Linked DNA regions of Drosophila melanogaster. The protein of the gene in region 1 interacts with the protein of each later gene in a pairwise test. Each region holds a gene or a part of one and is shown in the gene's direction. Other genes may lie near its edges. The genes, in order: wupA and TpnC47D.

Region 1 (17,167 bases):
TGAAAGTAGGCAGCGTTATTTTTTTGCCCTGCTCCGCGGAGAATAAACCGAGAAATGTGGCAGGCGAGTTTAAATTACTTTAGCTGGACATTGCTGGAGTTCGGAGTTGGCAACTTTACATATTATGAACTTTCCGTGCAAGTGGTCCAATATAATTAGATGCCTGAAAGTGGACAGCAGTTCGAGCGGAAAACAAAGCTTTTCATTTTAAACTGAAAATAGTTGGATTTTAATTAAAAACTTTGCTCTGCCACTTAGCTGTTAAACTGTGTTTATTGTCTCGCCTGCAAGTTGTCGGTAGAAATTGAAGAGCACGGAAAAATTGCAGAGATGCAAATCACTTTCAAACGACTTTTGAATAGTAGATTTGACTTTAGGTTCACAATTTAATCGAACTTTCCCCTTTTTTTTCCTTTATAACTTCTACCATGTACAAGGCGCCTAAAGGTAAATTTTTTTAAACTATTTATATGATAGTCAAACACACACTGTTTAAATGTATTTATTTTAATCTAAAATAACATATTGTTCAGACATATCTTGTGTAAATTTTTATACAATGGGAACTAAAGTGCAATAAATGCATTACTAATAAAGATGAAACACATAAATTTCATAATAAAAACATCTAACTTAAATACAAAGCTATGTTTATTTAAGAATACAAAATTTAAATGCACTGATCCTTTTTTAATACTTACTTACACAACACATGGCATAGAACTTAAATTAAGTAGCAACTGGATTTCGAATTGCAGTAGTCCATCCCACGAACGAGCTCAACGTGTCAAGTTTTTGTTTTTAAAACGATCTCAAAACTTGCTTAGTGGAACTCGGACGTAGGACAGAGACTTGGGGATTCACCGAATGCCACTAATGACGACGTTGCACTGACATCACTTGCACACTTCCGGCACACTTTGAAAAAAAATTGAAAAAAAAGTGCATATTCAAATGTTTTGGCGCCAGAGTTTTGGGTTTTCAGTTTGAATTCAGACTTTTGCTGGCTGGAGCCATTCACGACTGTTTGGCTTGGAGACGAGTTTCCGACTGATTTTCCCAGATGCTGGCACTGCGAATGTAAACCCATGACCAGGCTCAAATTTGTGGCGCCCAACGTCGGCTGAGGCGGCGGCAGAGGCAGCGACTGCGGCAGCGGCAGAACCAGCATCACATCGCCATCTCTGATGTCGCAAACAGTGTCCTTTGCAGATTATGTCTGGGGTCGCGTTCGGGGTCTCTCTTATTTGGGGCTGGGCTGGGTCGTCCTGTGCGAAGGATGCTGCCTGCTCGCTGGCTGCTGAACACTGGATACTGGATGGATATCCAATACTTGCTTTTCTCAATGAAAATCTCAATTTGCAGCACAGCAGCGCGGCCGCCATTGGATGCATGCCTCACATCCTGTGAATGAATGCCAGCCGTGACGTCACTGGGCCCCAAGCCTTCGTGCTCCTCGGTATTTTCCTTTTTCCTTCATTTTTTTTATCATCGCGACTCGACTCGTATATTTCGGCATTTGGCATTCGGCACTAGGTCACTGTGTTAGCAGACATTACAGAGCAAGCGGAAGAGGGACGGGGCGGTTTGGTGGAAAGAGAGAGGGATGTAGCGACAGCGGGGGGCGTGGCCGGTTGAGGCACCAGACGGCAGAAAGTCGGTGAGTCCTGTACCCCTTAGAAGAGCCCGCCTAAGCCTCTGTCTATAGACAATCAAAGGAGGCAACTTTTGAAAAAGCCACAAGAAAGGACGAGGCATGAAAGAAATTCTTCGAAACGAAAGGCAGACTGCCGAAGACTTTGAAGTTCGCACGAATATATGCACTTTGTGATTTACAAAACAAAAAAAAAAGGTTACAAATATAAATTCGATTGTAATAATAAAATATTTAATATCATTAATACATATGTACATTTGTGTAATATTTATATATTGTTTTTATTCCTTTTTAAATTCGATAAGTATTTTTTTGCGCTTTGCCTTAAAGTATGCTCTAAAGTTATGGGTCAAATTAGTTTTTCTAAATATATATAGGAAAGCAAACGAATTTACCAGCATATATTTTGGAAAATTTGTTTATCTTATATGTATGATGCTAATTATATATGTACATATGTCAGGGTTTAAAATCATTGGCATTTTCATGTACTTTCTAGATCAACACCGAGTTTATACACTTCAATTTTGAAAGAAAATTCATTTTATCTATGTAGTTTCACACATATACATATGTACATATATGAAAAATTCCGTAATATTCATATTCGTATTAATGACCTTTGGTCATCCGATGTTTGTACCTTTCTCCTAGCTTTTAAGAAAGTTTGTGCACGGATTTTCGTGATATAGGGATGCTAGCTATGTTTCCTATGTGATATATGTATGTAACAAGCACCTGGAGTGCAGCACTTGCTTATCAATTGGAACACGGCTGTGCCAGAAGTTCGAGATGGGAATCGGATGGAAATGGAGGGAAGATGATGTTGGTGTTGGAGACCGATGGGGATGTTGGCTGGTGTTCCGGCAATGACGTCGACGCCGTCTGCACACCTGTTTGACATTGCCCATTGGCCCCGCAGATGAATGGAGCCCGGAGGCCCATCCCAGCCCGTTCCGATCCGATCCGATCCGAACCCGATTCGCAACCGATTCGGATTTTTATTCGGCGCCTGCTGCCGCTGCCGCTGCTGCTGTTGCAGTTGACACTTTGACCTTATGCAGTTTGTGCAGTGCGTTCAAGTTGGAGTCCGCTTCCTGCTCCCTTCCCCTGCACCCCCTATGAAAATCAACATCCGACGCCAGCGAATCCCAGCCAATTACGTAGCGACCTTCGCATTTATTTTTAGTGCACTTCTAAAAATAAATCGGGGTCAGCTAGTGCGGAGCCAGAAAATCAAAACTTTCACTTGCGATTCTCGCTGGCAAATTCAAACAGTTTAGCAAGTTGGACAATGACGACTCCCAGGCGAATTCCAGATGCCAAATAGCCAGGTGTGTAGAGCAGGGAGCTGCTACGTAAAATAGAGTAGGTGGAAATTTGGCCAGGAGGTGGCTATATCTTTAGACAAACGGGCTAGTTGTCGCTGCCAACAACGAGAATGAGACGGCCGAAGAAAATAGAAAGAACAAAAGCGTAGAGAAGCGTATTTTTATTATGCCACATATACACAATGTATGGTCGGCTATATAGACCCCATTCCGTATTCTGTATACCAAAGCATCCCATATAGCTGCGCCCGATTATTCGGCGTTATGTGATGTGCATGCATGGATTTCGCTCTAATGCCAAAACACGATCGGACTATATGCTACTATATATATATATATATATATATATACAGTCGTATATAGAGAGTTAATCTGTGGGCGATTCTCTTCTAGGAATGCGTCGATTGCTGTTCATGCAAGTGTCTGGCCATAATAGAGGGTTTCCTGATCCATTTGAAGAGCTATATCTACAGACTTAGGATGAGTCTATACAACTATAGGATGTATATGAAATCTACTGGTATAAGAAAGTAGATGACTACACCTATAAGATTGTAGTTAAAGCTTAATTGGCAAGTGTTTATTGTTTTATCTGAAAGTTAAGCCGAAAATATGATGCACTTCTCTATATAACACACTTGTATACACCCCCTTGTACTCAGTTCTATTTTGGTTTAACCATGCCGGAAATACAATGGAGCAATGTGCAGAGTCCGTCTGGATCAATTGAATTGCAACTGCCAGTGCATTCAAATCCAAATTTCATTGCCCCCATTCCCATCACATTCCTCACGAGACTCGCCATCCGCTCGAGAGTCTTCTCGTTGTGTGTATCCAATGGTGTCGCTTAAGTCATCAAGTCCAGCCAGATAAGGTGCTCCGAATCGGAACCAATTGAGCGAGTGGCGAACGGGACAAAGGGAGCACATTTCCATGGGCCAGGACATGGGTTCAGGACATTGGGCATACATCCACATGGCCAGTCAGTCAGACAACCAGTCAGCCCGACAGCTTAACTCGGTTGACATTTATCTGGCTTTTGCATTTGTGCATTGCTGTTGCCATAGCGCCACGCCCACCCACAATCGGAATGGGCGTCCCATTGATGACGCTGGCGACTTTCATTCACAAAACTGCAGCATTTCAAGGCAGGAACGGAGTGGCAAACGTCAGCAGTGAATGGAAGAGACAGCCATGCAACCACCCCCTTTTGCTCCTCGATGAAAATGTGGAAAATTGTGCAGACCCCTCGGCTCTCCATCTTCTTTGGATGTCCTTCGTCGTGGATGTGGATGTGAATGTGAATGTGAATGTGGATGCAGATGTGGATGTGGAGAAGCTGGGCGGCGGAGGTGACTTGGCTAATGAAGACCAATGACGTCCGACGGCTTACAAAAGCACTCGGAACAAAATGCTTAATCGTTCTCGAATTTAAATGAATAGCATTAGCTCAACTGGCATTCCTTTCATGAGGAACACACATTTTGACTTGATAAGTCTTCTAATTAGGCATTGAATTCGCAGTTACTATGTATTCCTAAAAAGCAACAAGGATATGAAAGGGATATTTTGTGATAATTTTCAGATATATTTAAGATACATGTGTGCATTCAAGGCCTTACAGAAATAAATCGATGCAATATGAGTATCTTTTTGGTAATTTTCCATATCATTTTAAACCACACATTTGATATGCTGTTCGGCGAGAATATTTTCAAAAGTCTGTGTGGAATGGTCGTGGAAATTGGGGCCCCTTGATTGACCTCAGCTTACTGGACCATCAATCAATTAGGCGCCATTTTGCCTTCCACGAACGCGTGCACATGGAATCCGCATCATATTCCTGTTCCTGCACCATGTTGCATGTTGCATGGACTGACCTCGCTGCCTCCTGATGACGTCTGCGTGGAAACTATGACGTCACTGGCGGCGAAACTAGTGCAAATACACTACAAGCTGCACACGCATGCTATCGGTGTGAACGACTGCGCCTGTGTGCGTGCGGTTGCACGTCATCAATGTGGAAAATGTGGAAAGCCATAGAAAAAGTACAAGGGTATAAACACAAGTCCCTAAAAATAGGCGATTATCCGAGATACGAACTACTCCATGAAAACAACAACGGAAAATATTGAGCTAGTTTTAAAGAAGCCAAATAGAAATGGCCCAACTGTTAGCAGTAGTGTAGCTATAGAAATTATAAATAAATTATAAATAATAACGTACGCAGCATTTAACTAGGTATTTGTTTAGATAAAAGCATTTTTCAATCTACAATATAAAGACATTTAACTTCATGCCAAATAAATGCCTCTGTAATAAAGCTACTTATTAATCCTATTATCCATGCTAATCGCATTATTTCCCCCACTTTCTTATCATAATACTAGCTTGCAAAAGTTTCATTCTGAATAATTGATTATACTTACGCCACAGCACAAGTTTCGTGCTTTTCAGCCGCCCTTTGATGCAACAAAATTAGTTACTGTAACCGACAAACGCAGTTAATCCTTGGAGATGTGCAACCAATACGTGCACCAAAAGTGCATTTGAAACTGTAATCCGTTTAGTTGATTTAATTAAATTTGCGATAACTTTGCCAACTCTAAGGCGAACTTGGGCAGGGTTATTTAAATATTTCGCAGGACCAGCCGGAGTAAGCGAATTCTGACGGCTACCATGAGTGCACCCAGCACCTATGTACATACATAATGCGAGTGCATGCAGCATATATAAATACATATACATATTATATATATACATATATATATTTATATACGGTGCAGGGAGGATAAGGATGCGAGTGCCTGTTTGTGTGTATATAACCCTAAATGGGTCAGCGACAGCTGGGGAGTGGTGTTGGTTCTGGTTATGGAGGGGGAGTTCGGCGGGCAGACGACAACGACGACGACGACGACGACGACGACAGCAGCGACAAATAGTTGTCAGGTAGAGCGAACGTTGCAAGGCCACGCCCACAGTGGGCGGCTCAGAGGGGGGGGGCGGGGGTGGGCGCTTATGACGTTTGTTTTGCTTTGACGCACTCGCAGCCAGCTGACCATCGATGGTTCGCCTTTAACCCCGAATTAAGCTCGATTCACTGGGCACACCACACTGCCCACCTTTAAGGCCTCGATTCGTGCAAATATTCCGCCCATGTTGCAACATTGCTTTATTAAAGTTTACTTATTGCCAATGTATACACATTTTCGACGCTGTAAGACATTACCGCTTTTCTAGTAATACTGGTCGGCATTATAGCCCACCCCCGTCCGATTCAATATTTCCTGTTTGCCAAAGGCCCAAAAATAAGGCACAATATTAAAAGTGTTTTTTCAAACGAAAAACATTTTCGAAATTCATAAATTAAGGCAAAAATTGCTTGGGCGCGCAGCGGAATTGTTTAAAAACGCTCGGAACGAGAATGAAGGCGAAAATAGATTCGTCCAGACATAGACGAACTGATCAAGTTCCCTACGAATAACGAAAACATTTTGCCCCAAGCTAACCCACTGCCCTTCCGCAGTCGCCGTTTTTTCGATTTCCCCCCTGGAAGCCATATTCTAAATTTAAATGGGGAAAAACAAAATAGAAATCATCGAAAATACATTTCGAAATAGAGCTAGAACAAGCCGTGGCAAAATCAAAAACAAGCAACACAAACAGAAACACAAAATGCCAAGAACAACGAGATGAGCAGGGAAAAGCAACATTATTTTCAACAATATTTTGTTGTTGCTCTCCCTGCTGAAAGTTTATAGAATCGGAACATACGTATAGACAGTCTATGTATATCTAAATTCATATACGATATATATATATATATATAGACATGGTTTCGTGATCGAAACGTTTTATTCGTCTTTCGTTCTTGGCGAAATTCGAAAATTACTTTCAACCAAAGTTGCAAGGCGTTTCGTCTACGGGGCGTATGCGTGATTTTCAGTAGGTGTGTTGCAGCGTCATTCGCACCGTTTACCATTATATATAGAAATTTATATATATATACATATATATATATATATATATATGTGTATGTGTGTATTTGGCCATATTGCGTATATACATTATATTTAGACTGACGATGCCAAAGTAATTCAGCTAAAACATTGATATTAACAAGACGGATATAGGCTATATGTTCGTACGATTCGCTTGGAACACATTATTCGAAAGCTTAAAGTTATGTCAGCGGCCAACATGCAAGATAAATAGCCGAACAACATGAAACAGATCGTTAAAATGGTTTTTCTAGATCAAGTCCAAAGTGGCACGGTCTAAGAAAAACCTTTTAAATGAACACAAACGGAATAATTACTTTAAGACCTGGAAATGATATTGGATGGATTAAATAGTAATAATCTTCAAATTAAATAAGTTAAGAATCTATGGGATTCCCCAATTTTATCTAATATATTTTCAGCAATATATGTATGTAAGGGTTATTAACCTATTTTTCTTAAAAACTGCAGTCTTCTAAAGAAAACAGTAATTTGTATTCAGTCAACTCATCGAAATATTAGTTATGTTTATGAGGATAAATGTTCGATAGGAGTTATAAATCTAATCTTTAAAATAACGCTGCATGCACCTATTTTAAGATAATGTTTAGTTTCATTAGTATTTGCTGTTGAAGTAGATTACATTGAAAATGAATATATATTCAATATATGCATATCCCAGCACAAGCTTATTCCCTGGATTTTCCAGAATTAGCATAATATTTTATAGTTTTTTAACCAGGGCTGGCGAAACCAGAGATTGCAGCCAGTCGCCGGCCCTGATTTTTTCATTGCACACCGATTGCACCGCCATCGCATAGCCTCCCAACTGGAGCAACAAAACCTATTTTTATCCATTGCATTGAATTCCAAGCGGCTCCGTTTACACCAGCACACACATCGAACTGCAGATACGATATTGTGAACACCGATGCGGATACAGAGATACAAAGATTCTCCAAGCGGTATTTTTCATAGGGTGGTTTACGGGTCTGCAGTTCCGACGGGGCGGGAGTTACGGGATCGGGATCGCAATCGCAATCGCAATCGCAATCGGATTCGGATTCGGAATCGATTCGGCATGCCACTCGGCTGCGACGATCGTGAGCCGAACACTTTTCGGTATCCATTTCGATTTTGCTTATGGGCTGTGCTCTGCCATGTCAGTTTTGGTGGGATCTATTTTTGGATCTCACGCCCAGATACATAACCCCGGCCCCCGAGCCACTCTCGCTCTCTCTCGCTCTCGCCCGTTCGTGAAGGACGGTGGGCAGGTGGGCGGCTAACGTTTGGCTTTCGGAACATAACGGAACCGAGCCGAACGAGACGATGCGATACGATGCGATCCGATCAACAACGATCCGTATCTGTATCCGTTGGGTGGCTAGCCGCTAGAATATAGTCTGCCGTGGATCGTCGGACCGTTCAGTCTTTTTGTGTCGTTCAGTATCATCCGATTCGTGTGATCGACAGCATAGCCGAATTTTTTTTCTTTTTTTTCTAATTCCTTGAAGGTGAGTGCTTGAAGCGGAGCAACATTCAAAAAGCCAAGAAAAACATCACCATCAACATTGACAACGAGCAACAATGCAAGAACAAGCGGAATGGAAAAACAGAAAACTGCAAAATGCAAAATGCAAATGCTAATGCTAATGCAAAGAAAAACAAATGTGAAATCCTCAGTCCTTTCTCATATGCTATACATATATATATATATATTTATATTTATATGTATGTCTGGACCTGACCAAAATCGTGTGCGTGTGCCCAGAGGATTCAAACATTTTTTTTCAAACAATTTTTTTGCTATTTTTTTTCAAGTGATACAAGTTAACAAGTGTCTAAAACTGCATCGAAATACTTTTCAACATTATTTTGACTTGATTTTGCAATGAATTTTTTTTCACGGATTGGCTTGCCAATTACGTAAGAAGTTGCCGTGTGTGTGTGCGTGTATGCGTGTGTGTGCGTGCCGAAAGCTAAAAATGTATCCCGCAGATACAAGATACATTTCAAAAAAGCTAAAATCGCTCGAAAAGTGCCTGAAAATAGACCACAGCGAGAACAAGAGATCCCGAGAGAGAGAAAAATCACACACACACACGCACACACAGAAAATCATACACTCACACACAGAGAAACAACACGCACACGTCGCCTACGTAAAATAACTGGATAAATGCTCTCCGAACTTTTGGATTTCATATTCGATACGAATATCGTTGCTCCAATTTGACTATTTTTTTTCCGTGAACATATAAACAAATTGTACGGCAAATCATAAATAGCTGCCATATTTCTCGCATCCGAGATTCGTGTATCTATCAACAGGTTTATTTTTAAATCAGTCAGATACTAGATACAGTAGATGCCATCCCACTCGCTCTCATTCTCAGATGTATGCCGAGTGGAGACATCGACTATGCTTAAATTCGTTGTGCATTTCTCGCAGTGTACATAGCCGAAGGTCGTCATTGTCAGAAAATTTTCACGCCTTACCTTCGCTAAGGTGCGCAAATTGCTGGGGCTAAATATACGCCTAGCTCCCTAGCAATTCGTTCTACTAAGCCATATGGCTTTGTAGGTGTGAAAACCCCAAAATATACAACTTCTTCCAAAGGATATAAAATCTATAACGGATCTCCTTTTGACTCATTGTACATTATTTTAGTTCATTGCTAACAGCATAGATAATTTGTTTAACGATTACTTTCAACGCTAGTAGACTTTTTAAAGTTATATATGTACTTTGTGAGGTGTTAATTCTTCGACTTCATTTCAGTAAAAATGTATACATATACATACTATACGGATAGGCTAGCAAATAAATTCTGATTAATTCCTCAAGATGTAGACATGGTTTTTCGTATGATGAAATCTCATAATGTTTACTTAAAGATTCCCAATATGTTATTCAGCATAAAATGTATTTTTAAAATGCCATTACAACGATCAATCATCTGATCAAGTATGCATATGTAAAAGTTACTTCTATACTAACGATTTAACTTTTAGCTTGATTAAAACGAAAACATATCGTAGGAAAGTTTCCATTAACAAAATCAGCTGGCTGAGATCGGTCAGTTGGGAAATGCTATTCTCTCTTTGCTCACTTGAAATCGGATATCAAAGAGAGCAACTAGAAAAGCCACAAAGCAATACAGTTGTCTTTTTCTGGCAGCTAGACGCCCACGCCAAAGTAAATGTGCGAAAGAAAGGCTAAGCGAAGAGAGCGGGAAAATGAGCGTTTGCTGGGGTTGTCCTCCCATATACGGCGTGAACCAATGCTGCGTATACGTAATATGCGGCATATGCCAGCAATATGGCGCATACGCACTGTGGTACCCCGGTGAGATCGTAGGCGTGTGCGAATGGGAGAGAGAGCGACTGATTTATGGAACATATATATATATATATATAAACACATACTTATATGTATATACCTACATATAGCCGTGTATATATAGGGCAATGGAAATGATGTCATCGAACATTTCCATTCACCATTCACCATTCACCATTTGCCTCCAGTTCCAGTTCCTTGAGTTCACCTCTCGATTTCTCTTACTTTCAGTAACCAAAAACACAAATCAAAATGGCTGATGATGAGGTGAGGTGAGTATCTCCAACGGCCCCCTTTCTACCGCCTTTGAGAAACGGTTGATTAACCTTTGACCCTCTTCTTCAGTTAACTATTTTGGGGCATTAATCGCAAGCACTGTTTTGGAAATTGGAAGTGATTTGGACGGGATTAAACCTGACTGGATGTGGATTTAGGTAAGCAAAGCTCCCGAACAATCCAGAAGCTTCAACAGCCCCCCACTTGCAACCACGCAACATGCAACCCAAGCCTTTCTTTGCCTTTCTCTTGCTTTCACAGGATCGCTGCGCTTTGCAACCCTCTGAATCCCAGCCATTTCTTCCTTTCGATCAAGGAGCACAGATAATGATAACTGTCAAGTCTGACTGAAAGCCATGTCTGTTATCGTTAGTGTGTGTCTATGTCTCTGTGCCTTGCTTTGTCCCTTTTTTTGTTATCGTCGCGTTTGTGCCTGGAGAAATTTGAGATCTATTTAAAGTAGTTTAAAATCAATGAAATATTACAACCAATAAAACTTGGCTGACCATTCTTATATAATTTAAATGAGTTTAAAACCTATTTGATTACTTTAAATAATTGTGGATGATTGAGAAATGTTAATAGTTCCTTTGAAGTTTAAGCAATTTTCTCCTAGCCTGGCGTACTTTTTCGATTCCTAGAACTGCAACTAACCAGCAATCATTTAACTTGATTTCAGAAAAAGGCAGCAGCTCCGGCCGCAGCTCCAGCGGCGGCGGCCAAACCGGCGGCTCCGGCAGCAGCCCCGGCGGCCAATGGCAAGGCTGCTCCGGCGGCCAATGGAAAGGCTGCTCCGGCAGCTGCCGCCGCTCCCGCCGGTCCGCCCAAGGATCCCAACGACCCCAAAGTGAAGGCCGAGGAGGTACACTTGTGTACGTGTGTGCCCGTTCAACTTAACGTCCATGTCAAAGTCCAAGTCTCGTGCTGTGCAGTGCTGTGTTCGAATATCATATCTAGTGTTGTGTCCAGTTTTGGATGTGAGCAAACCATGCTGATACCCGGATTGTTCGTTCATTTAATTTGCAGGCTAAGAAGGCTAAACAGGCTGAGATCGAGCGCAAGCGTGCTGAGGTGCGCAAGCGCATGGAGGAAGCCTCCAAGGCCAAGAAGGCCAAGAAGGGTTTCATGACCCCAGAGAGGAAGAAGAAACTCAGGGTAAGTTTCCAGCATATACCAACGCTTTGTATGATCGCCAGCTAATCAAAGCCCTCCACTTGCAGTTGCTGCTGCGTAAGAAAGCCGCTGAGGAGCTGAAGAAAGAACAGGAACGCAAAGCGGCTGAACGTAGACGCATCATCGAAGAACGTTGCGGCAGTCCCAGGAATCTCAGCGATGCCAGCGAAGGTGAGTAGCCTCGGTCCTCGAACCGAATGATTAAGATCCCTGATCAGGCGAGTGGAAATCCCTAGAGGTTTCCCTGCACCTGGTCACGGTTCGAAAGTATAAAGGATGAAAAACCATATAATCGAAATAAACGAAATCAATCAGTAAAACAGATAGGCGGCTTATGCATTCAATATGTTTAAGCCCGCCTGTCGCGAAGCATAAACCAAAATCGATAACTGAAAGTTGAACAAGTGTCATCTATCGCATACATACATACAATTACATAACACACCAACACGAAGACACCAAAAACACACACCAAACACACACAGGATAACCGACCTCCCACATCGGATCACATTGACGTCGCAGAGGAACCATAGTCTTATTATGCCTGAACCACTGTGTGCAACATGTATCTAAATGTGTCTCTATCTCTATCTCTCTTTTGCCGCACCCATGCCCGTTAAATATCCAATCGATCCACACACACACACCACCACCACCACCACCACCACCAACCCTCTCCAACACAACCAACACCCCATTCCACAACCACAACCAACTCCGAACCACTCCGAAAAACCGAATATAAAAACCCCATTGTGAACAGACACACTCAAATCTCTGATCAAGCAACACTATGACAGGATTAATAAATTGGAGGACCAGAAATATGATCTTGAGTATGTTGTTAAACGCAAGGATGTTGAGGTACACGAACACCACCAATTTTATATACGCCACCTAAATACGCCTAAGTCTATCCACGATCAAAATCAAAAGCTAACGCTTAACAACAACAATATAAACACACCTTCTGTCAGCTGTCTCTTTCTATATATCTAAAACACTATCTCACTCTCAATCTGTTTACTGTATAATACACTCTATATATGTTCGTGAAAAGTGTTATTCGCCCAGGCACTAAAAACTGTACAGAAACTCAATGGCTCAATTAGCTCCGTATGCGTATCCGTATCCGTATCTCCGTATACTCACCCGATTAATGCAGGTCTCTTTCTATATGTCACTCCAGTGAGGATGTGTTCTGTTTAAGAATGGAAGTGTAGGTGCCATTTCTCGAGTAGATTAGTCTCACAAAAACACACTCACCCACTCCCACACCAAGAAATACCAGCGCACTCACACACACACACACACGCACAGTCAAACAACACCTCCAAATATCCAGATACAGTTCGAACCGTTTTGATAACCACACTTCGTTCCGCAGATACTATTCAGAGTGTTTGTAAGGACTACCACAGTAAGATACTGAAACTGGAGTCCGAAAAGTACGATTTCGAGTACGATGTAGCCAGAAAGGATTATGAGGCAAGCAGCTCCGGTTTCCAATAGTTTCAATCTCTCGCAGATCGTAGAACATGTTGATAACTATCTAAATATGTAGAACTACTTCACTAGCCGAGGCAGCAGCACAACTAGCCCAAAGATATATGCAAATATTTCGGAGCTCTATATACATTAGTGTGTGTGTTTGTCCGGCGGACAAAAGAATATAAAACTAAGCACTTCGTAGAAACCGTAGTTAACACCATGTACTTTTTGAATCTAGTTTTCATTTTGGGAGAGAGCTGTGCAAACGAGGCCCCCACAAAAAATATCGAAGTGTTTTTGGCACCCGAAAATCGTATATACCATATAGAAAGTAGAGCCCTAGTCAACGCAGCTAATCCGTAATATAAGAGCTTCAAGATCGGACCCAAATTGGGGGGATCGAGAATAACTACGCTGCCTTTACGTACTAATAACCTAAGCCGAGTGCAACAAGTGCTGACAAACCCTATTTTTGATGTCACCTTATTTGTGGGTTTTTTGCTTTTTACGGCTTTAGCTATAAGCTTTTTGTGGCTACAAGTTGGTTTTTGGCTTTTTATTGTAGCGGAAACACATGTGATGTTTTTGTATTTTTGATAAGGCTTTTACTAACCCACCAAAATGAAAGAAAATATTAAGAAAAAGCGAAACGGTTATGTTAGGGCAATGCACTTTACTCTAGTGTGACCAGAGCTTAGGCAGACAGTCATCCCAGAAGTACAGTCACGCACGAAGGAACAACAAACAAGACACTGATACTCTTACAGACACTTCATGTTGCACCAAGAAACGAAAGCACAACACTGTCTTACACTTAGAACATTTGTAGGTGATAAAGATCGAGTTCAATCAATAACTTTATATTAATCAAATCTTAATCTAATCCTTCTTTTTCTCGAAAACGCGCCAACCAATCACTCGAACAATCAAACAAACAAACAACCAAACTAAAATCGAAACAAACAATGCGTCGTTCTCGTTGTCTCTATACGTCTCTTTGTCTCATTCTATCTCTATCTCCTTCTGACCCTATCTAACTCTGTTTCTTCGACTATATCTGTCACTCTCTCCAATTTCACGCCACACCTAATCTTCTTCCTACTATCTTACTCTTTTTCTCTTCACTTTTCTGTCTATACCTGTTCTCTCACTCTATATCTATCTCTCTTCTTTGATCCGTAACTCCCACGCACACATACAAACAAACACCAATACCAACACACTCAAATATACATACAACACAAATACAAAACGAACTCTCTCGTTAAACGTCAACCGTTTACCGTTTCGTAACCGCTACTGTTACCGCTACCGTTACCGTTTACCGCAGCCGAACTGCAAACAATATGCAAACAATATTGGCAACGCGTATACAGTTTGGAGGGCGATAAGTTTGATTTAGAACACGTGCAGAAAGTCAAGGCCCAAGAGGTAAATTCCCCAAAGATTTACAAAGTTTTGCCATGCACCCACAAAAAAAAAAAAAACGAATTCAAAAAAAAAGAAACCAAAATCGAATGTTTTTTTCTTTCTTATCAAGCCAAATAAAATACATAAGATATTTACATATATATAAATCGATTATTAATCATAACTCTACTTTACGATTATGCCCTTGATTTAATTATTTGATTTCATTTCTAAATATTTCCTAATCATATTTTTAGTTTTTTACTGCGATACTTCTGTTCGTTTACCTAATTTTGATATTGTTTTAACTGCGCTAAACTACAGAAAAAAACGAAAAAACGAAATCAGAGAGATTTTCTCGCATCGGCGCGTGCTTCAAACAGTCTGGTTTTGGGGGGAAATAGTTCCCGGGCCGCCGTGTATATAGTCTATCCGTCCGGATCCGGGAACCGTCTTCCCCCGCCGTAACCCCCAAGCCAGGTCTTCGGTTCGCCGGAGTGGAAGCTTGTAGGAGAAAATAATAAGGAACGTCTTTCATTAATTGTCAAAACCTAAATAATAAGTCTCAGTTTATCGAGTTGCTCATGAAAATCACGCGTACCCAATAGGCCAATAATGTAAACCGTAACGATCGTTTCCGTTTCCGTTCCATTTCATTCCGATCTGATTTGTTCCGTACCATTTCGTAACAGAAACAGTAGGAGAAACCCAAGTCAAAAATCGAAGAATAAAAACTCATCGAACACATAACATCTAATGAAGCTGCGAAATAACAAACGATAAGATATCGATAACAATTATTGCGATAAACCAAAAGAAAAATCTATAAACAGTAAATTCAATCATAAATACTATTAGTCATACGTAGATTTAGAACATTACCAAACGACGAACGCCGATTAAAAGTTTAAGTCAAACCAAAACCAAATCCCGAAAAATCAAATATTTTTGCAGGCGAATTGCAAGAGATTTGCGAAGAGTATTACGAGCGTATGTATATTTGTGAAGGCCAGAAATGGGATCTGGAATACGAAGTCAGGAAAAAAGACTGGGAGGTACTGCAACAATTTCAATTTAAATTTTCCAATCGTTCTCAATCAATCAATAAATGTCAAAACTCTGAATACAAAAGAACAACCAATCAAAAAAAAAAAAAAACCAAAAATATTAATAAGACCAACTCACCCAAGACAGAATGCAACAAAATTGTATCAAAACTAAAATCTTATTTGATTATCTAAAGTATTCATTTGAGTTCTAGTATCATGTTCGTTTCCGTTCCGTTCAGTTCCGTTGTTTCTTTCTTACTTGTTGAATGCGCATCTCAAAAATATGTCTCTTAGTTTGTATCTGTTTTACTTGACTGTTTCACAAAACAACAACCACCTCGTGCCCCCCTACCCATATATATATACAGAAGCATATATTTGGGTCTCGGTGGGGGCGCACAATCGTGACTATTTATTCGTACTACTCCCTGTTTAATTTCAATTTCGAGTTCCTAATGCCGTTGTTACTTACGTTTAACTCAAAAACTTCAGACGGAAACACGTATCCGCTGAGAACGCGAGGATTGCCTGACCAGTCAATCGATATCGAATATATCGAAAAGTCTATTCAACTTGAAGTGTGACCAGATGTCGTGACCAGTGAGGTTATGTCCGAAAACACACATAGTGAGGTTAAGTCCGCTATCGAGCACACGAACAAACATGTCACATGGCACCTCCTCACTTCCTCTTTGCAAAAATATCAATTTAACTGGCAATCCAAGTATGCTCATCAGTCACACTACACCCCAGACAACCAGAATCACAAACAAATCGAACAACAACAAGAAACAAGCAACAGTAATGTAGTATTAGTGAATTGCACAATAGTTACAACAACAGCAATATAACTAGTTTGTTGCACCATTTGTGAACTTTGTTTTGTGTGTGTGTTATTTCTCTTTTTTTCTTAACTGTAACCAACAAATTTGTTTGTGCCGCTGTCGACGCGTTACGCCATTACTCAACTGAACCACAGTCTGTGCGTCCGGTCCACAAACACAATTACAACCTAAAAATTTACCAGCACATAGTTATACAAGCACACTAGCACAAAAGTACACGATCACAATTTAAGAACAAAAGAAGGAAAAGTACAGTCACGCTCACACGAAACGCAACGCACGCAAGCACGCAACATTTTGCATGCAGCAACACATGAAAAAAAAACAGGAAAATAAAACACCGAAACGACCGACAAGCAGCAGCCACGAAACACCTATCCCGATCAGCCACGCCCCGTACTGCCCACCGCCCACCAAGCCACCGCACTTCATTGTAAATAATGTTTGTGTAAATTGATCCCATCGCTGCTCACACTCTGTCTCTCTCTCTCTCTATCTCTCTCTCTGTTTTTCTATCTCTCTCTCTGTTTCTATCTCTGTCTCTCTCTGTCACTTTTCTCTGTGTTTCTATACTATCCTTTCCGCGAA
Region 2 (16,075 bases), on another chromosome or scaffold:
CACCAATTCCAGAGGCCATCCAGCGTTCTCTGGAGTACATCGCCGCCCACCCCCCAAGTCAATAAATAATGTTAAATAAATGTGTTGAACTTTACTTTCCTAGACTTTTAATTTCTTCCCAAAAGGACTGTCGCTTCTTAAACCGAGTAGACAAACATATATACGCATCGTATTAGCGGACAGAAACTTGTTGGTCAGGGTCTACCAGACGGATGAATTATATTAGTACGTAATATGTATGGGTCTGACAGATGAACATTGTACCCAAACGCCATGCTGCCCCTGAACTCGGGGTCGTTCAGTTTTCACTTTCGATTTAGGATCACTTAGGAGCTGTTACTTTAGGATCACTGTTACGTAATCACGTTTTTTACCGGTTTTTAAACCATATCCATATACACCGGACCTGGTTTTGCGGTTTTGAAATAGAAGTAGACTAGTTCCCATTGCATATTTCAGAATAAGAAATTCCATATATTAGACTTTATTCTATGCAGATCATATCAAAATAATGAAAAGGGGTATAGTTATTTTTTTTCTGTTTGAAGACATTTAGCAATCCCTATCTAGTCACGTGATCGCGATGGGATAATCAGGCTCTTTGTTGTCATAATTTGCGATGCAAATGTTAGGCTTTTGGTCTTTGAAAGTGATGCGACCGTTTAAGTTGTGCGATGCAGATTATGCCACTGCAATTATGACGTCGACGGGTAAAGTGAATGCCATCGTAAATTACGTGGTGCAACCAGGGGCAGAAGTAGCAGTATCCGAGGTAACTGAAGTGCCCGATCCGCCAACGATCAAGGCTAACCATCGTCGGCTCTCAAATGTCAAAATAACATTGAAAAGCCTGCGCGCTCCGGTTACCGATTTGCCGCCAAATCGGCATTCTGATTCTGATTCGGATTCGGATTCTGGGTCGTTGGGGCTAATCGTTCTGGAAGCACAACATGGAAAACCCGACAGATGGCTAGCGTTAAAAACACATCTCAACGATGATGGATTGAGATGGCGAGAGGGCGATGTCAATATGCCACCGAGGCTGTCGGGGATCAGATCGGAAAACACTGCCGGAAAATAATAAAATCTCTGACATATGAATAAATATGTAGTTTATAGACCAAATTTTTATAAGAGGTATATAACATGTGTTTAATGAATTTGTATGCAGTATTTAACTTATATTTTAATAATATAAGTTTGTAACTTAAAATAGAACAGACTGAGATATTTTTTCTTTAAATGAATACAAGGAATCCCATATTATTTCCTCCGTGTAATCACTCAATGAGATTTTTCGGATTCTTTGCGGCGCCAAGGATTCCTTTCTCCCGCTCAGCTGTTGTTCATTACTAATTCCTGGCATTTTGAGATATGTGTGTCGCATATATTACTTGCTAATAAATTAATAAGAGCATAAACAAATGGTCAATATGTCAGAGTGACGTCAACTTTTTGGCGGCTGCTTTGGCTGGCGCTGTCATAATTGGAAAGCAAGATTTGGCTTCCTCGATTTTCCCAATATTCCATAGCCACATAAACAAATACGTTGGCTGGTTTCGAAAATGTGTGCCACACAAACTGCTATTTTATTAAAATTTATAAATCAATTTGCATATCATGGCTGGCATTAAACAAAACGAATAATTAATATTATGGCTGATTTAAATGTGAATATATATGCGCGCGTATGGGAATAGGAAGCTGAATCGCAAAAGACAATATTCGAATCGTTTATAAAAATGTATTAACACATTGCTCGTTTGATATTTCCATGTGCGAGTTGTCGGTGTCTGTGTGTGGAATGATTCCATCCTCTTAATTAATGTCGATTTTTTAATTGCTCGTTAATTTGGCTGAGTTATAAAATGATTTTATGGGCACGTCGTGATTGATTCATAAAGCGTGTCAGCTGGAAAATGTGATCAGATTTGATCTAATTATGAGGGAATATCTGATACTTATTTAAATGAGCACCAATTAAGCGTACACTGGGCGAAATTCAACTGCTGAACTGATACTATAACATCTTTGTCTGGAATTTTGCTGACTCATTTCGTATGGTAATTTGTTAATAAAAGCGAAACCGAAATTCAAAAGCCGTAGAACAGGGTAGGTTTTTAAGTTTCAGCCTGAGTTTGTAGTTATTTAAGTGGCTAAAATCAAAGACCAGTATTACGTCCCAAAAGTATAAAAAGAGATGTTTATTTAAATAAGGTTATTTAAGACTATTTTTTATCGTCATTAAGCGTGTTTAATTTTAACAGATGTTGATAGCGCATTTGGAACTGGTTTATCAACAGCATGATTTACAATAATTCCAGCTGCCATCGAATCTGATAATGATTTTCCCGCAGTGTCGGCTAAAAATAGTCATTGTTAAGCTTAGCAAACCACTACAAAATCGTATTGTAGTGGGTGGATGTGGTTCGGATCGTCTGCTCTTGGTGGTGATGGTGGTGGTGGCATTGGTGGTGCTGCTGCTTTCTGGTGGCCAGGCGCAGTAAATTCGGCAATGCTCAATGGTTTTACAGTGCTTTTCGTATTTTCCTTTTTTTCACTCCACGAAAATTAGAAACACATTTTAAGATTTCCACAGGTTCGTGTGCGCGTTCACTTCTTTTGTTTATTTCGCTTGGTTTTATTTTCGAAATGCTGCTGAAAACCATAAATTAGCTTGTTACTTTTGGAATGCCTGGCGTTGTGTGTGGGTGTTTCTGGGGTTTCTGGGGATCTCAAGAGCTCAATGAAGAAGTGGGGAACTGATTCAGTCGTTAGCGGTGATCGATCTGGTGAACAACTAGCACAGGATTTAAAATGGATAACATTGTGAGTGCCACTGGATTATAGAAACCCCTAGGGGTAACACCTTGCACTTGAAAGCAGTGTTAAGGAATAGAGAAATGTCGTTTCTCATCAATTTAAAGATTTTTACCGAATTACAAACGAAGTAATGTATGGAAATTCATGGAACTTTCTTCTCAGGACGAAGACCTGACCCCCGAGCAGATTGCCGTTCTGCAGAAGGCATTCAACAGCTTCGACCACCAGAAGACCGGCAGTATCCCCACCGAAATGGTGGCCGATATCCTCCGTCTTATGGGTCAGCCCTTCGACAGGCAGATCCTTGACGAGCTGATCGACGAGGTCGATGAGGACAGTAAGTGTTCGCAGCCTATATTGCCGGGTGCCCAAACTAATCCTCGATTCTTCTGCAGAATCCGGTCGCCTGGAGTTCGAGGAGTTCGTCCAGCTGGCTGCCAAGTTCATCGTAGAGGAGGATGATGAGGCCATGCAGAAGGAGCTGCGCGAGGCTTTCCGTCTGTACGACAAGCAGGGCAATGGCTACATTCCCACCTCCTGCCTGAAGGAGATCCTCAAGGAACTGGACGACCAGCTGACCGAACAGGAGCTCGACATCATGATTGAGGAAATCGATTCCGACGGCTCTGGCACCGTTGATTTTGATGGTAAGTGCGCGGACCAATTAGCCGCCGTCAGTCGGGCTATAAAGATCTTGGATTCCTTGGCGCGCTGCCATGGTATTTTCCACACAAATTATATCAATTTGTTGCGGTGGAGAACCCCTACCCCTCCCCACTAACACCACCATCCCACCAACGAGGGGAGACGCCCTTGTGGTGCTTTATTTATAGTTCTTTAGATCTTTACACAGAAACAAGCAGATCACTTTGCCCCAGATTCTAAGGGGCATTTCACTATTCCTAAAACAAAATCCGTCCATATTTTCCGCCTTTTATAATTGTTCCGATTGGTGTACCAGTTTAAAAAGAAACAAATTTGTATTATGAGGTTTTGGTCCAATTTCCACTTGTATTAGTACACAAACCATATTTTAGTTATCAACAATAATAATAATTAATATTATTTTGTATTTAATTTCCAGAATTCATGGAGATGATGACTGGCGAGTAAGCATTGTGGACCCAACGTATCTCATAATTGTCTACCCCCCAACACCCGAGGCTTGAATAAACGTTTTGTATTTTATTTCTACGATTGAGTAATCATAATTACGCTATAAATAATCCGCTCGTTCAGGAACCGATTGAGTAGAAAAACCCAAAGCGCGGCAAACATTCTATGGCTGCAGTGCATCTGCATCCGAGTTGAGTCATCTTAATTGCCAATTGCCACCCTCTGGCGTGCGGATTATTATTAAATTTCAATGTTTGTGCAATGGGCTGGGAGTGGGCGTGGCCGCTCTGCTCATTTGTGTGTTAATTTGGCAAGGCCATTCGGCGTATGAGTGATGCATGTTGCGCATACGCAACGTGGCCAGATGCATGCGGAGTTCTTTGTTTCAATCTTTCCGCTATTACTTGCGGCAGTGCGTGCACATTCCGTTTGCCACTTGACTGGCGTTCTGGTCCGCACAGCTGTGACCATCCCAAGCAGAATAAGGCCCACTGACAACCTGCTAGATTTTTGCCTTTCCAAACAGCCAATGTAGTATATCATAGCTATGCATGCAGGCTGGCAAATGTCAATGAGCATTCTCCTTGTTGCCAAAAGATGTCAAGCATTTACGCTAAACTTGGCCGCCGCGACATGCAGTGAGTTTGTTTTCCCAAATTCAGCGAAAAGAAGCAACTGCCCTTTCTGAAAAGTTAGCGAAAAAAAAGGAGAAGGGGCTTGGGGCAGATCGATGTGGATGGGTTGGGGTTTGGATGTTGCCACCAAGTGGAGCAACTTGTTTTGCGCAATGCTTAGTCTTTCGGCCGGAGGGTGTCGATATTAGTGGTATTTATTACCGCTTCGAATCCAGTTTTCAGTTTTTACCCAATCATTAGGTGAAAGGTCACAGACTGGACCTGGACGCCCTGTGAAAGAGCTGAAAATGTGGCGGATTGTGTTGGGTGTCAGATTTATTGACATCCGCCTGGGCAGACTTCTCAATATGCGATTCTTGACACCGAGCGCATTAAAACGGTTTCCCAAACGTGCAATTCAATGGAGATGAAGCTGAATGATGATGATGCGCTCGAGCGTTGAGCGTTTCGATTGGATTCCAATTTACGAGCACCACCAGCAGCAGTTGCTTGCTTGCTAATTTTTACCCACTAACCGAGGAGAGATGTGGCTGAGAGCGTTTGTTTAACAAGACAAGGTACATTGAGTAAACGAGATGCCGCCGTTGAGACAATAGTCAAAATGCATGGGCTTGCGGATGAGGATGCGGGGGCACCACCACCTCCTCCTCCCTTTTTCGTGCGATTGTTTTCTGCCCCAGCTGGGGACGGAGCCTCAGCTAGCACCACCACCATCACCACCACAGCTGCACACGATTGCAATAAATGCCATAAAGTATCAAAATCTCAGCACTCGCTCAGCACCGAGCTCCAAGCTGCAAGCGGCAAGCTCCGGCTGCAGTTTTCGTTCATTCCATTCCATTTGATTGCATTTGGCGCCAAACCAAGTATAAAAGCTGGAGAACTTGGGCTGCGATCGGCACACAAGTACCGTGACATTCGAGGAGCCACAACACGACACGCGGAGGCACTGCATCGCTGGTGCGGCAAAGGACTTACGTGGATTAACCCAGCTTTGTGGATAAATTAAGCAGTGGATAAATTGTGGGTGCGCCAAGGATTCTTCTTCTTAATCCTCGATCGAAACAATCAAAAGATTGCTGTCATGGCTCTTAAGTGGGTAAGTTCAGTGAAAGAGGAAAGTAACTTTGGGTTAGAAAATTCAAAAGATCCAAGTGTTCTAATGAAGAGTCCTTTGAAACTCCATATGCTGTTGTGGTTAGAAATTATTGTAGAGCTTTACTAATTTTTCCCGAAAAGTATCCTTCTTGAGATAATGACCTAGATTCAAAAATATATTTCAATGTTTGAATATAATATTCATATTTATATTCATATTTTCCGTTTTTATTCTTTTCGGATTTTTTACATTCATTACATTTTTACATTTTACATTCGAATGCAAAGATCTTAATGCTTCAAATTTAATTAAATTGATTTCATTACCCAATTTAATTTAAATGAAAGTAAAGTTACGAATTTTACCTTAGAATAAAGACATTCAATTATTTTAGTCTAGGGAATTGTCTCATCAGAAATCTGTATTAAATTGGCATAGGAATATTCTTATTCATCAAGAGTTTATAACTTTTCAGGAAACTTTGATTTAGTTAATTATTTAATCTCAACTTGGCAACTCATAAAATTCCGCGAAAAAGAACATGCCTAAACAATAGGCCACTGGAGTGTCCCATCTTGGATATTTTAGCACAGCCAAGGGTTTCCCCATTGCACTTAGCATATCCGATTGTCTTGAAAAGATCGAGTAATCCCCGTGAAACGCATAAATTAACAGCCCATTTGCAATCGGAGATGGTGGATGGCACGCAAAGTTGCCCAAGATGGTTTGGTCGTGGCCGATCCGCCCCGCCTCCAAAGCAGATCATCGAAATGGAAGCAGTGGCGACCCAATTGGCAGCCCATTTGCAATAACCGCAATTATATTTGCGGTTGCGAAACGCTGTCGAAGATGTCTGCTAGGTGGTCACGAACTCCAAGAGGCTCTCACAGACTCCTCAAGATATTCCGGCCCAAGGGGCAGGCGTTGCTTGTTTCGGTTGCATGTGCCACAGTCGCCGGATGAGTCAGTGTGGCAAATGTCAGAATTTCCACAATATTACATTATTACACTGCCCGGCTGTGGCGACAAGTGAGCTCATCATCGTGCCAATCGATGGAGCTGTTAGGTTTATGGCCCAATGGAATTCGTAAACGGTTTAAACTTCAACTTGACACTCGCTGGTCCGCTCCGCTTAGCCAACCTTCCCAGCCAGCAATTCTCTGTGGCACTCTCGGTTCACACGCTGCTGCATCTTCAGACGTCTTCTGTCTAACAAGAAGTCCATAAATATCATAGTTCGCCTCAGGCTGAGACAATGATGAGCCAGCCCGATGTTGATACTATAGTCAAGAGTCCCCGCTGCACTTGCAGCCTTAATGGGCGACGACGATCGGTTGCAACAATGGAAAACGTGAGCGGATCGGATTGCGTCGTTCTGTCAATGGACAAATGCTTCATTGATGAAATGGCCGACATTTGGCCACACTCTTGACCCCTTTGGAGGTTCCCAGCGGCGGGGTCATGATACCCACTTGGCCGAGATGTGTATCAGGGCTTAATTAACAGCAGAAACAATTCAAGGTTCTTCTTGTAATTTGAAGTTTGGAAAAAGCTTATCGTTTATTTTTGGAACGAACCATTGCTGTTTAACTTAAAATACACATTTATTACAAATAATTACCAAAATGCTATCATGAGTAAAGTACAGTTGTAAAAAATGACATAATGTTAGTAAGACATTAAAAATCGTTTAAAAGTATTTCTTAATACGAATAATTCGAAAATAATAATTTTCAGACGCTTAACATTATTTTAAGTTTAAATACGTCCTTGTGCTCAAGCAACAAAAGTTTATTCGAATAACACTTTTTATGGCGGTCGTTAAATGACTATTTCATTACATTTAGCAGCCTTTTTTCATGTTATCTTCAGATTTATGAATTAGCCGCAGTTAATGAAGTTAAATTTTAAACAATTAGCCACCCCTGCGATTTTTCACTGGCATTTATTTTGCAATCAAATAAGTCAACACGCCAAAGATTCGCTTCAGGCCAAATTGAGAACGTGGATCGCGATGGAAGATGCTGGATTCGCATGAACTTTCCATGTGCTTGCATAAATTTGTGAACTTACCGGGCAATCCCTACCTGCAACGATCTTTTTCAGGCTCTGGTGATCACGACGCTGGTGGTTGCCCAAGCAGCCAAGCTGGATAACAAATACCTGCCCCCACCTGCAAGTGCGGCCAGTGCGGGCGGCAGTCCGGGAGCAGGGCTTCAGGGCCCAGGAGGTGGCTTCGGCGGAGGTGGAGGATTCGGTGGCGGCGGAGCGGGTGGAGGTTATGGAGGAGGCGGCGGTGGCGGACCAGCTGGCGGCTTCGGTGGAGGACCAGGCGGTGGCGGTGCTGGTGGCTTTGGTGGTGGTAATAACGGACTTGGTGGCTTCGCAAACGGAAGACCCATTGCACCTGGCGGCGGCGGCGGAGGCGGCGGAGCACCCGCTCCACGCCCCAGTCCGTCAGGTGGCGCGCCACCAACTTCTGGACCTCCCATTCCGATCCTCTCATTTGTCAACGAGAACGACGGCGATGGCAACTACCGTTTCAGCTACGAGACTGGAAATGGTATAAAGGCCCAGGAGGAGGGCACCGTTAAGAACAAGGGATCTGAGAATGAAATCCCATCCGTGATGGGCTCATACTCCTACACAAATCCCGAAGGTGAACTCGTCGAGATCATGTACACGGCGGATGAGAATGGCTTTGTGCCCTCGGGCAACGCCCTGCCCACTCCACCGCCCATTCCGGAAGCGATAGCCAAATCTCTGGCTGCCCAGGGCATCTCCATACTGCCGGGTGGTGGATACAGTGGCGGTCCTGGAGGACAGGGTAAGTTTCTACAAAATAAATCAATGGATTAACATTCCATTTCATTGCTCACTTTTGATTGCAGGAGCAGGTGGCGGCGGAGGCGGTGGTTCGGGATATGGAGGCGGATCCGGATTTGGAGGCGGCGGCGCAGGAGGAGGATCCGGTGGAGGCGGAGGTGGAGCAGGAGGTGGCGGTGGATATGGATCAGGTAAGATACGAATTCAAGTCACATTTTGACCCTTTTTCTTTTTTTAGTCTTTTTTGACTTTAACTTTGATTATTTTTAGGAGGCGGCAGTGGTCGTGGAGGAGCACCAGGAGGTCCAGGTAACGACTGATTTATTTATACAATTTTTAAAAATGTTAACCCCTATTAGATTAATTTAATACTTTATCGATTCGTTTGCTTCTTTAGGTGCGCCAGGTGGAGGCGGATTCGGAGGTCAAGGTAAGTTATGTTCCAACGGCTTACACATGGATCTAAAATACTATTTATTTTTTAGGAGGTGGAGGAGGCTATGGAGGAGCTGGTGGCGGAGCTGGTCGTGGTGGTTCCCCAGGAGGTCCTGGTAAGTCCTTTTTCTAGATGAAATTTATTGTTCCTAAAGAAAATCCGTCTTAATTCACTTCATGAATTTATATTTATTTTCATATATTTCAGGATCACCTGGCGGCGGCGGATTTGGTGGTCAAGGAGGTGCTGGCGGCGGTTATGGTGGTGGCGGCGGCGGAGGACGCGGCGGTGGCGGAGCACCAGGAGCTCCCGGTAAGTTAACGAAAAGTGTTACTCCATAGATACTCAAAACTAATAACTTACTTCAACTAAAGGATCACCTGGCGGTGGAGGTTTCGGAGGTCAAGGTAAGTGATCCCGCCTGACTTTGCGGTTCAAGTTAAAACTATATACACTTTCCAGGTGGAGGCGGAGGATTCGGAGGTGGCGGCGGACGCGGCGGTGCTCCTGGCGCTCCCGGTGAGTTCATGATTTCATTCACTTTATATAATAGATAACACATTGCTTATTTTCAGGATCACCAGGCGGAGGCGGATATGGTGGCCAGGGAGGTGCTGGCGGCGGCTATGGAGGCGGCGGCGGTCGCGGTGGTGGTGGAGCACCAGGTGCGCCAGGAGCACCAGGATCCCCAGGTGGTGGCGGATTCGGAGGTCAAGGTAAGGGATTTTAAAACTTACTGCACATTCACCTCGAATAATACATTCATCTTGTAGGAGGTGGTGGCGGATTCGGAGGAGGTGGTGGTCGTGGAGGTGCCCCAGGAGCTCCAGGTGAGTACAAAACATAAATTGTTTGTTACTGAAAATAAGGAATTATTAATTAATAGGATCGCCTGGTGGAGGAGGATTTGGCGGTCAAGGTTAGTTAGCAAAACAATATTCCAGTTGCAGGTCTTAAGTAAAACATCTTCATCTTGTAGGTGGGGGTGGCGGATACGGAGGCGGCGCCGGTCGTGGTGGTGCTCCTGGAGCTCCTGGTAAGTCGATTTTAATATCTGCCTAGTGGCTTTAAAAACATACCATTCGTGTTTCGCAGGCTCTCCCGGAGGAGGAGGATTCGGAGGCCAAGGTTAGTAACTTAGTAACAGTACACTGTGCATTCCACAAAACTTACGAAATTCTTCAAGTTTCCGACTACTTGTTAAACTGTGTTATAAATATTATAATAATTAAAGTAATATTTATTTTTTAGGAGGTGGTGGTGGCTTTGGCGCCGGCGGTGGTCGCGGTGGAGCTGGAGGAGCACCCGGTGGACCCGGTGAGTAACATTGGTTTTTGTGATGAAGAGGTCACTCTCCCAATTTGTCACAACATATAGATGGTATTTACATTTTTTAATGTAGGATCTCCAGGCGGTCCAGGTTATGGAGGAGGTGCCGGTGGACCGGGTAAGAAGCATTATAGTTATAAACCCGGTTTTACAATCTGTGTGATTGCAATTGTAAAACTTGAATTAGCCTCATTCATCTTCATGAGAAAATGATGTGAAGAGCTACACTAGACAAGTGCTATTCCCACACATTTCAGTTTTTTTATTTTGACAATTCTTGTTTGGCAAAGCCTTGGTCTATTGTTTTACCCACGATCGACTAACGATCTTTCATGCATAAAACATTTCGGCTTGCACGCGGTCTCTTTGAAGTCGCTAGATTATAATAATTTTAAAGACTGCTTTAAATAATTACAACTAATCAAAGAGGGTTTACATAAATTTAATGCCACTCTAATCGCGATTGTTTCCATTTTTTATCTAGGAGGCGCCGGTGGACGTCCAGGCGGACCAGGATTGCCCGGCAATCAGTATGTTCCACCAGCGGCTGGTGGCGGAGCACCCGGCTCGCCAGGCAGACCAGGATCGGGAGGAGTTCCCGGCACAGGATCACAGTACATTCCACCTGCTCCGGGAGCGCCGGGCGGAGGTCGTGGAAACGGAGAGTTCAATCCTCAGACGGGCTATAGCTACTAAAATCAGAATTTATTCCAAAACGCCAATCAAATCTCTCAAATCGAAGAAACGTCATTTCCGTGCAGGCTGCCCTCAATGTTCTTTCGCTAAAACAATTAATTTATTTATATAAGCTTACCTCCCTCTTCCACTCTGACAATGTGTGTGTGCAACTATCGAAATAAATGATTATTATAAAATATTTGCTTATCATTTTGCGCCGCGTAAGCTGCGGAAATTGAAACAAACTGCTTGACTTTTCAGATGCATGTATTTCATGCCTTTGAGTTGCGACTACATCTTCAAACTAATCAATCATTTAAATGACATTAATTTGTCGTTATTTCTTTGGGGACTTCTTGAAGCGTCTGCCGTACTGATTATAGCCATATGGATCCACCAGGTTGTTCGGTCTGCCCCTCAGTTGTTGGGTGATTAGGGCCTGTTGCTGCTGCTCGTTTTGCTGCTCCTTCTGCTGCTGTTGCTGCTGCTGCTGTTGTTGCTGCTGCTGCTGCTGTTGCTGGTTGAGATTCTGCTGCTGTTGTGCCTGTTGTGCAGTAAGATTGCTGCCAAACGATTGCTGGCCAAATTGTCCGGCATACTGACCGGGTAAGTTGCCGGAATGCAACTGATTGAACGGCTGTTCCGGTTGATATTGCCCGGAGTTTGGCTGCTGCTGCTGCTGGAAACCGCGTTGCTGTTGCAACTGTTGTTGCTGTTGCTGCTGCTGTTGCTGCAGTGGAGTGAGCGGCTGTTGTCCTGGAAGCTGGGGACGAAAGGGGGCGTTGGGCAGTGGGGGTGGCAGCTGGCGGAAGGGCGTCTGGTATGGATTCAAATTGGGATTGAGCAAGCCCTGTTGATAGGGCTGGGCACCTGCGAAATATTGAGGGCTAGATGGAATCCCCGTGCCCTCCGCTCGAAATCCGTTCTCATCGGCGATGTAGCGCACTGTGATGGGTGTGCCCTCCGGTGAGGTGTACGAGTAGGATCCCTGAATCACCTGTTCAATGGCAAATAAAGTTGTTGACAAATAGCACCCAAAAGCATGATACGAATTTTTTAGTTATAGTTAGCTCAACGCCGAAAAGATTGCAACGCATTATGTCCCAATTTGAATAATATGATCGTTGGTTTTTTGAAAATAATTTACTTGAATTTATGCATAGATATGTGAAGCTTAAAAAACTTGTTCTACTAAAAAATAACAGAAAAATTTACTTAAAAAAAGGCTGATGTAAATATCAACAAATAAGTCTTAACACCATTTTCCATCAATTAATGCTATAGGATCATTTAGAAGAATATCACTGAAAAGTTTGCTAATCAATCTGAATAGTAAACCCACCTGTGCCTCAACTCCCTCACCATACCCCAAGTTCTTCACGTATCCCTGTGCCTGGGCAGTGGTTCCATCGGCCGACGAGTATCCGTAGGAGAAGCTTCCATCCAGATTGAGTTCGTTTTGGTAGGCAGTGATGGGCACATAGTTTTGCTGCTGGTACTGGTTGTAGCGGGTATAGGGATTCTGTAGAGCAGCTCCAGTTAGTGGAGGTGCCAGTGGGTTCAGTGGATTCCTTTGACCAGGAAACAGTCCTTGACCCTGTACGGGATTCGGCTGGCGTCGCTGAAAGGGATTGGCCTGCTGTTGCAGCGGCTGCAGTGGAGGCACCTGCGGACGCTGTCCCTGGAATCCGGTTCCTGGCAACTGAGCCTGGCTGACGGAAAACCAGAGGCTGGCCAGCAGACAGGCCACCCAGCGGAGGTGCCGGAATCGAGGGGTACGGGCTACAGACATTTAGGCTGTCAGTGGGCAGGTGCCGTGGATCATAAATCTCGCGAACGGAGCACAAATTACACGCTCGATAAACCCGACGATTCACTTATGGAGCTGGGAAACACTGCTGATGCTGGAGATTCAATCGCGTACCGAAGCAAATCCGTTGCTGCCACTGGAAGTCACTGATCGAAAGCCGTGCCACGACTGCAATTGCGGCTCCCACCGGCGGCCGTATTTATGCGGTTCTCGATCGTCGGGCCCGGCGGTTCGTCAGGCCCTAAAGCTCAGCTCAGTTATGGTCAGAACAATCGGCGGCTTCCTGTGCCCTGGCTATCGGCTTCTGACTGCATCTCGATGGTAATCTCGCGGGCGGCCAGTGTAATTTATCTGCGTGTTAACAAGCCGCTGGGCTGGCAGCTTTATTGGTTTTTTATCGGCCATTGACAGAAGGACAAACGAATTTCGTTTGGCTTCGGCTTTGGCCTGGGCTGATTGATATCTTCATGGTGGCCCACCGGTCGTCTTCCGCGCACTTGTTTATGAGCCAGCCCCATATGCAAATTCTGGGTCTTTTTGCTCCAGCACTTGTCTTCGCATCTGCCTCAAAGGTGTTTGCTTGAGTTATGTGCTGACAGTGGCTGGTGGTCTATGTTGTATGTTGGATAGCCCCTTCATTTTCCCTTGGTCAAGGTGGAAATCGGACCTCAACTTGGCCTACAAACATCATTTGTCAAATGGCATACTAATCAAATGCGATACTGCTTATCCCCAGGATAGCTTGAGAGCTTTTCGTGCCCGAAGTGTTCCATTGTTCCACGCTCCAGTGGGGTTAATCATCAATCTCGATGGGACGGGGATTGCTCATGTCTAGGTGTGATGTGGTCGCCATCACTCATTTATAACTGCCAAGTATCTGACAGATACATTTTCGTTTGTCATCAGTATGAGCTGCCATTAAAAGGCGAACATGTCTTGTTCCATGTTCAGCTTCATCTATAATTGCATATGCTAATTCTGTGGAGGTTTTTCATTACGAAACAAAGGTCAACACTCGCGTTTTATGGGTTATGGGTCACCACTCAATTGGGAGCTTATGCTTCTATTTAAATCTAAAGCTAAATTTCGGTTCCTGTCAAAAAATTAAAAAATTTGCGTTTTTTTTATGAAACGATAAAGATATGGTGGCAATAAACTAAACTTTAGGTGCCTAGGTAATGTGAGAATCTGCCTAAAAGTAGAAGAGATATTTTGACCCAAGAAATATAAATAACGGAGCCGCGAAATATGCTACATAAATATTCGAAATCCAAATAGGTTCCACTTTCGCCCTTCACGACATTTTCATACGCTTCGCTGGGAAATTTTAGCACATGCCAAACAGGTTAATTTTAAAATTAATTGATATTTTTACTTATAAATTATATCTAAATTGCTTAGATATAAAAGATGAGAGTTATTCAGTTCGATGAACTACTTTTTGCTGCTTGTCATCTTCCTTTTGTTATTATTAATTAAAAGGGTATTGTTCATTTAAACTTTTTAATTTCTTATGATTTGCAATGTATAATGTATATAAAAAAATCGATTTTACAATACATTTCCGATGTGTTGTTGTTTTAAAGCCCATATATGCGACGTGAAATCAACGGCCGTGGGAATTTTTTATGTAATTTGATTTTCTGCTAGTTTGGTTATTACACATCTCTTGTTTTTTATTTAAGGTAATGATAGGTTTTGGCAGCTTCCATATGTCTAAAAATAACTTTGATTTAGGGTTCGAAAATGTTTTGACCCAATAAGCAGATCAAATTGAATGTGTTCAATATTAATTATAAAATGTTTTTTGGCCCATATTGGCCAATCGCTGCCTGATTGATTTGCCATTTGAATAATTCGCAAACTTGGGGTATAAATAGCCATAAAACAAAGCTTCAAAATGCGGGAAAACGAGGCGATGCGGGGAGCTTCGTAAAAATGCAGAAATGCGAGACACAACAAGCGCATAGTACAAGCCAACACAATGTGGTTGTTGGCCGATGAGCAAACCGCATTAAAGACAGGTCGGACACTCCTCCCACGACTCCAACTGCGACTGAGCCATGTCTATGAGCCATAGGCCTTAGCCCCAAATCCAAATCCAAATCCAACTGAAAGTCGGACAGCAAAGGCGACGGTTATTAATAGATGGCAGCCAGAAAGTTGCACCGCTTCGAGATGGTTTAGATGTTTCATACTTTGTTGAGTGGGCCTGACATTTTGCAATTGCGAATTGCATTAGTTAGAAATTATGGCCGCCAGCGGAGCTAATTGATTCACTTTGTGGCAGTGCGTAGTGCGACTGCAACAAAATTGCGACTGCGGATCTTCAGGTTCCGGCTGGCAGATCTTGGCTAAAGGTTAGAGTGTCGCAGCTCTGAATTATGACCTCGTCGGCATTGCGGCTGCTTCATTAATAAGTTTCCACTTCTGTGGCAGGCGCGTCAAATGCCGCTTTGCAAAGAGACACTCGAAAAAAATAGAGTAGGGTCCTTTCGGCCCTTAAATTCTTATAAAAATAAGCTAATAAGATTTACAGTCATTGTGTCACGTACAAATTCATGAAAATCTAATTATTTTTCGGTTTTCCATAACAGTGAATGGCGCGTAGTGACGAAGCGCACCTAACTGTACAAGAGAAAAATATATGTAGAAAAAGTTGTTGAATTTATTTTAAAATGGAAATAAAATCTGTTGTAATCCTTTTTAGACTTTTTGTTTCCCCAATTATTTCTCCATGTGCATGCTGGCAGTCATACCTGATTCCGCGGGATTTAAACCAACTCACCGACTGGGGAGCCACCAAGAATCAATTTATTAACACGTTGCCCGAGAGCCTGGCCGTTTTGGCAAGTGGAACTGGAAATTGGAACTGGGCGGGCCAAGGCAAATGCCAAAATGCAACTTCTGCCGCAATGTGGTGCTGCTGCTGCCGCAGCCCAGTTGCGAAATTGCTGGAAATTATTATTGAATTCTTTTTGTCTTGCCGTTGCCAGCATGCCGTTTGCCATAAATGTTAGCCGCTTCTCAAAGGCCCAGAGGTGCCCACCCACTGTATCAAAGTTTGCTGGCTGGAATTTGCATGTAGAAGTCAAGTCAGGTGGAGCAGTCGTTCGTTACCATTTCTGCACCTTTCGCTTGCCACAAATTGCCGCAGTGCCGGCAATTGTGACAAATTTTATTAGCTGCTGCACCTTTCGAGCAGAGCCCACGCCATTCGCATGTGCCTATGATGCTATCTGCATTGTGTAAACATGACAGTTTACCTGCTCTCCACACTTCTTAATCGCCATTTGAATTGCAAATCTGAGGTTCAACAAACC

What was found.
Region 2: the proteins of wupA (region 1) and TpnC47D interact in a two-hybrid assay, tested with the Drosophila melanogaster proteins (2 studies listed by BioGRID).

The regions. Positions count from the first base shown.
Region 1 is NC_004354.4:18,108,043-18,125,209, reverse strand, and holds the start of wupA (wings up A), read left to right. Parts: upstream 1-8,384; 5' UTR 8,385-8,503; intron 8,504-10,475; exon of another isoform or gene 10,476-10,563; 5' UTR 10,564-10,584; coding exon 10,585-10,599; exon of another isoform or gene 10,600-10,604; intron 10,605-10,677; exon of another isoform or gene 10,678-10,766; intron 10,767-11,287; coding exon 11,288-11,470; exon of another isoform or gene 11,471-11,480; intron 11,481-11,634; coding exon 11,635-11,763; intron 11,764-11,828; coding exon 11,829-11,952; intron 11,953-12,547; coding exon of another isoform or gene 12,548-12,648; intron 12,649-13,171; coding exon of another isoform or gene 13,172-13,272; intron 13,273-14,605; coding exon of another isoform or gene 14,606-14,706; intron 14,707-15,639; coding exon 15,640-15,740; intron 15,741-17,167. UniProt on the Drosophila melanogaster protein: Troponin I is the ATPase inhibitory subunit of troponin in the thin filament regulatory complex. Involved in the development and maintenance of muscle and nervous system. May also be involved in the cytoskeletal apparatus.
Region 2 is NT_033778.4:11,261,975-11,278,049, reverse strand, and holds TpnC47D (troponin C at 47D), read left to right. Parts: upstream 1-2,763; 5' UTR 2,764-2,817; coding exon 2,818-2,829; intron 2,830-2,985; coding exon 2,986-3,160; intron 3,161-3,218; coding exon 3,219-3,470; intron 3,471-3,907; coding exon 3,908-3,936; 3' UTR 3,937-4,205; downstream 4,206-16,075. Other genes in the region: Cpr47Eg (cuticular protein 47Eg), read left to right, coding at 1-65; Cpr47Ef (cuticular protein 47Ef), read left to right, coding at 5,659-5,673, 7,780-8,500, 8,565-8,690, 8,770-8,808, 8,897-8,929, 8,985-9,050, 9,143-9,247, 9,310-9,342 and 9 more; Cpr47Ee (cuticular protein 47Ee), read right to left, coding at 11,280-11,939, 12,285-12,734.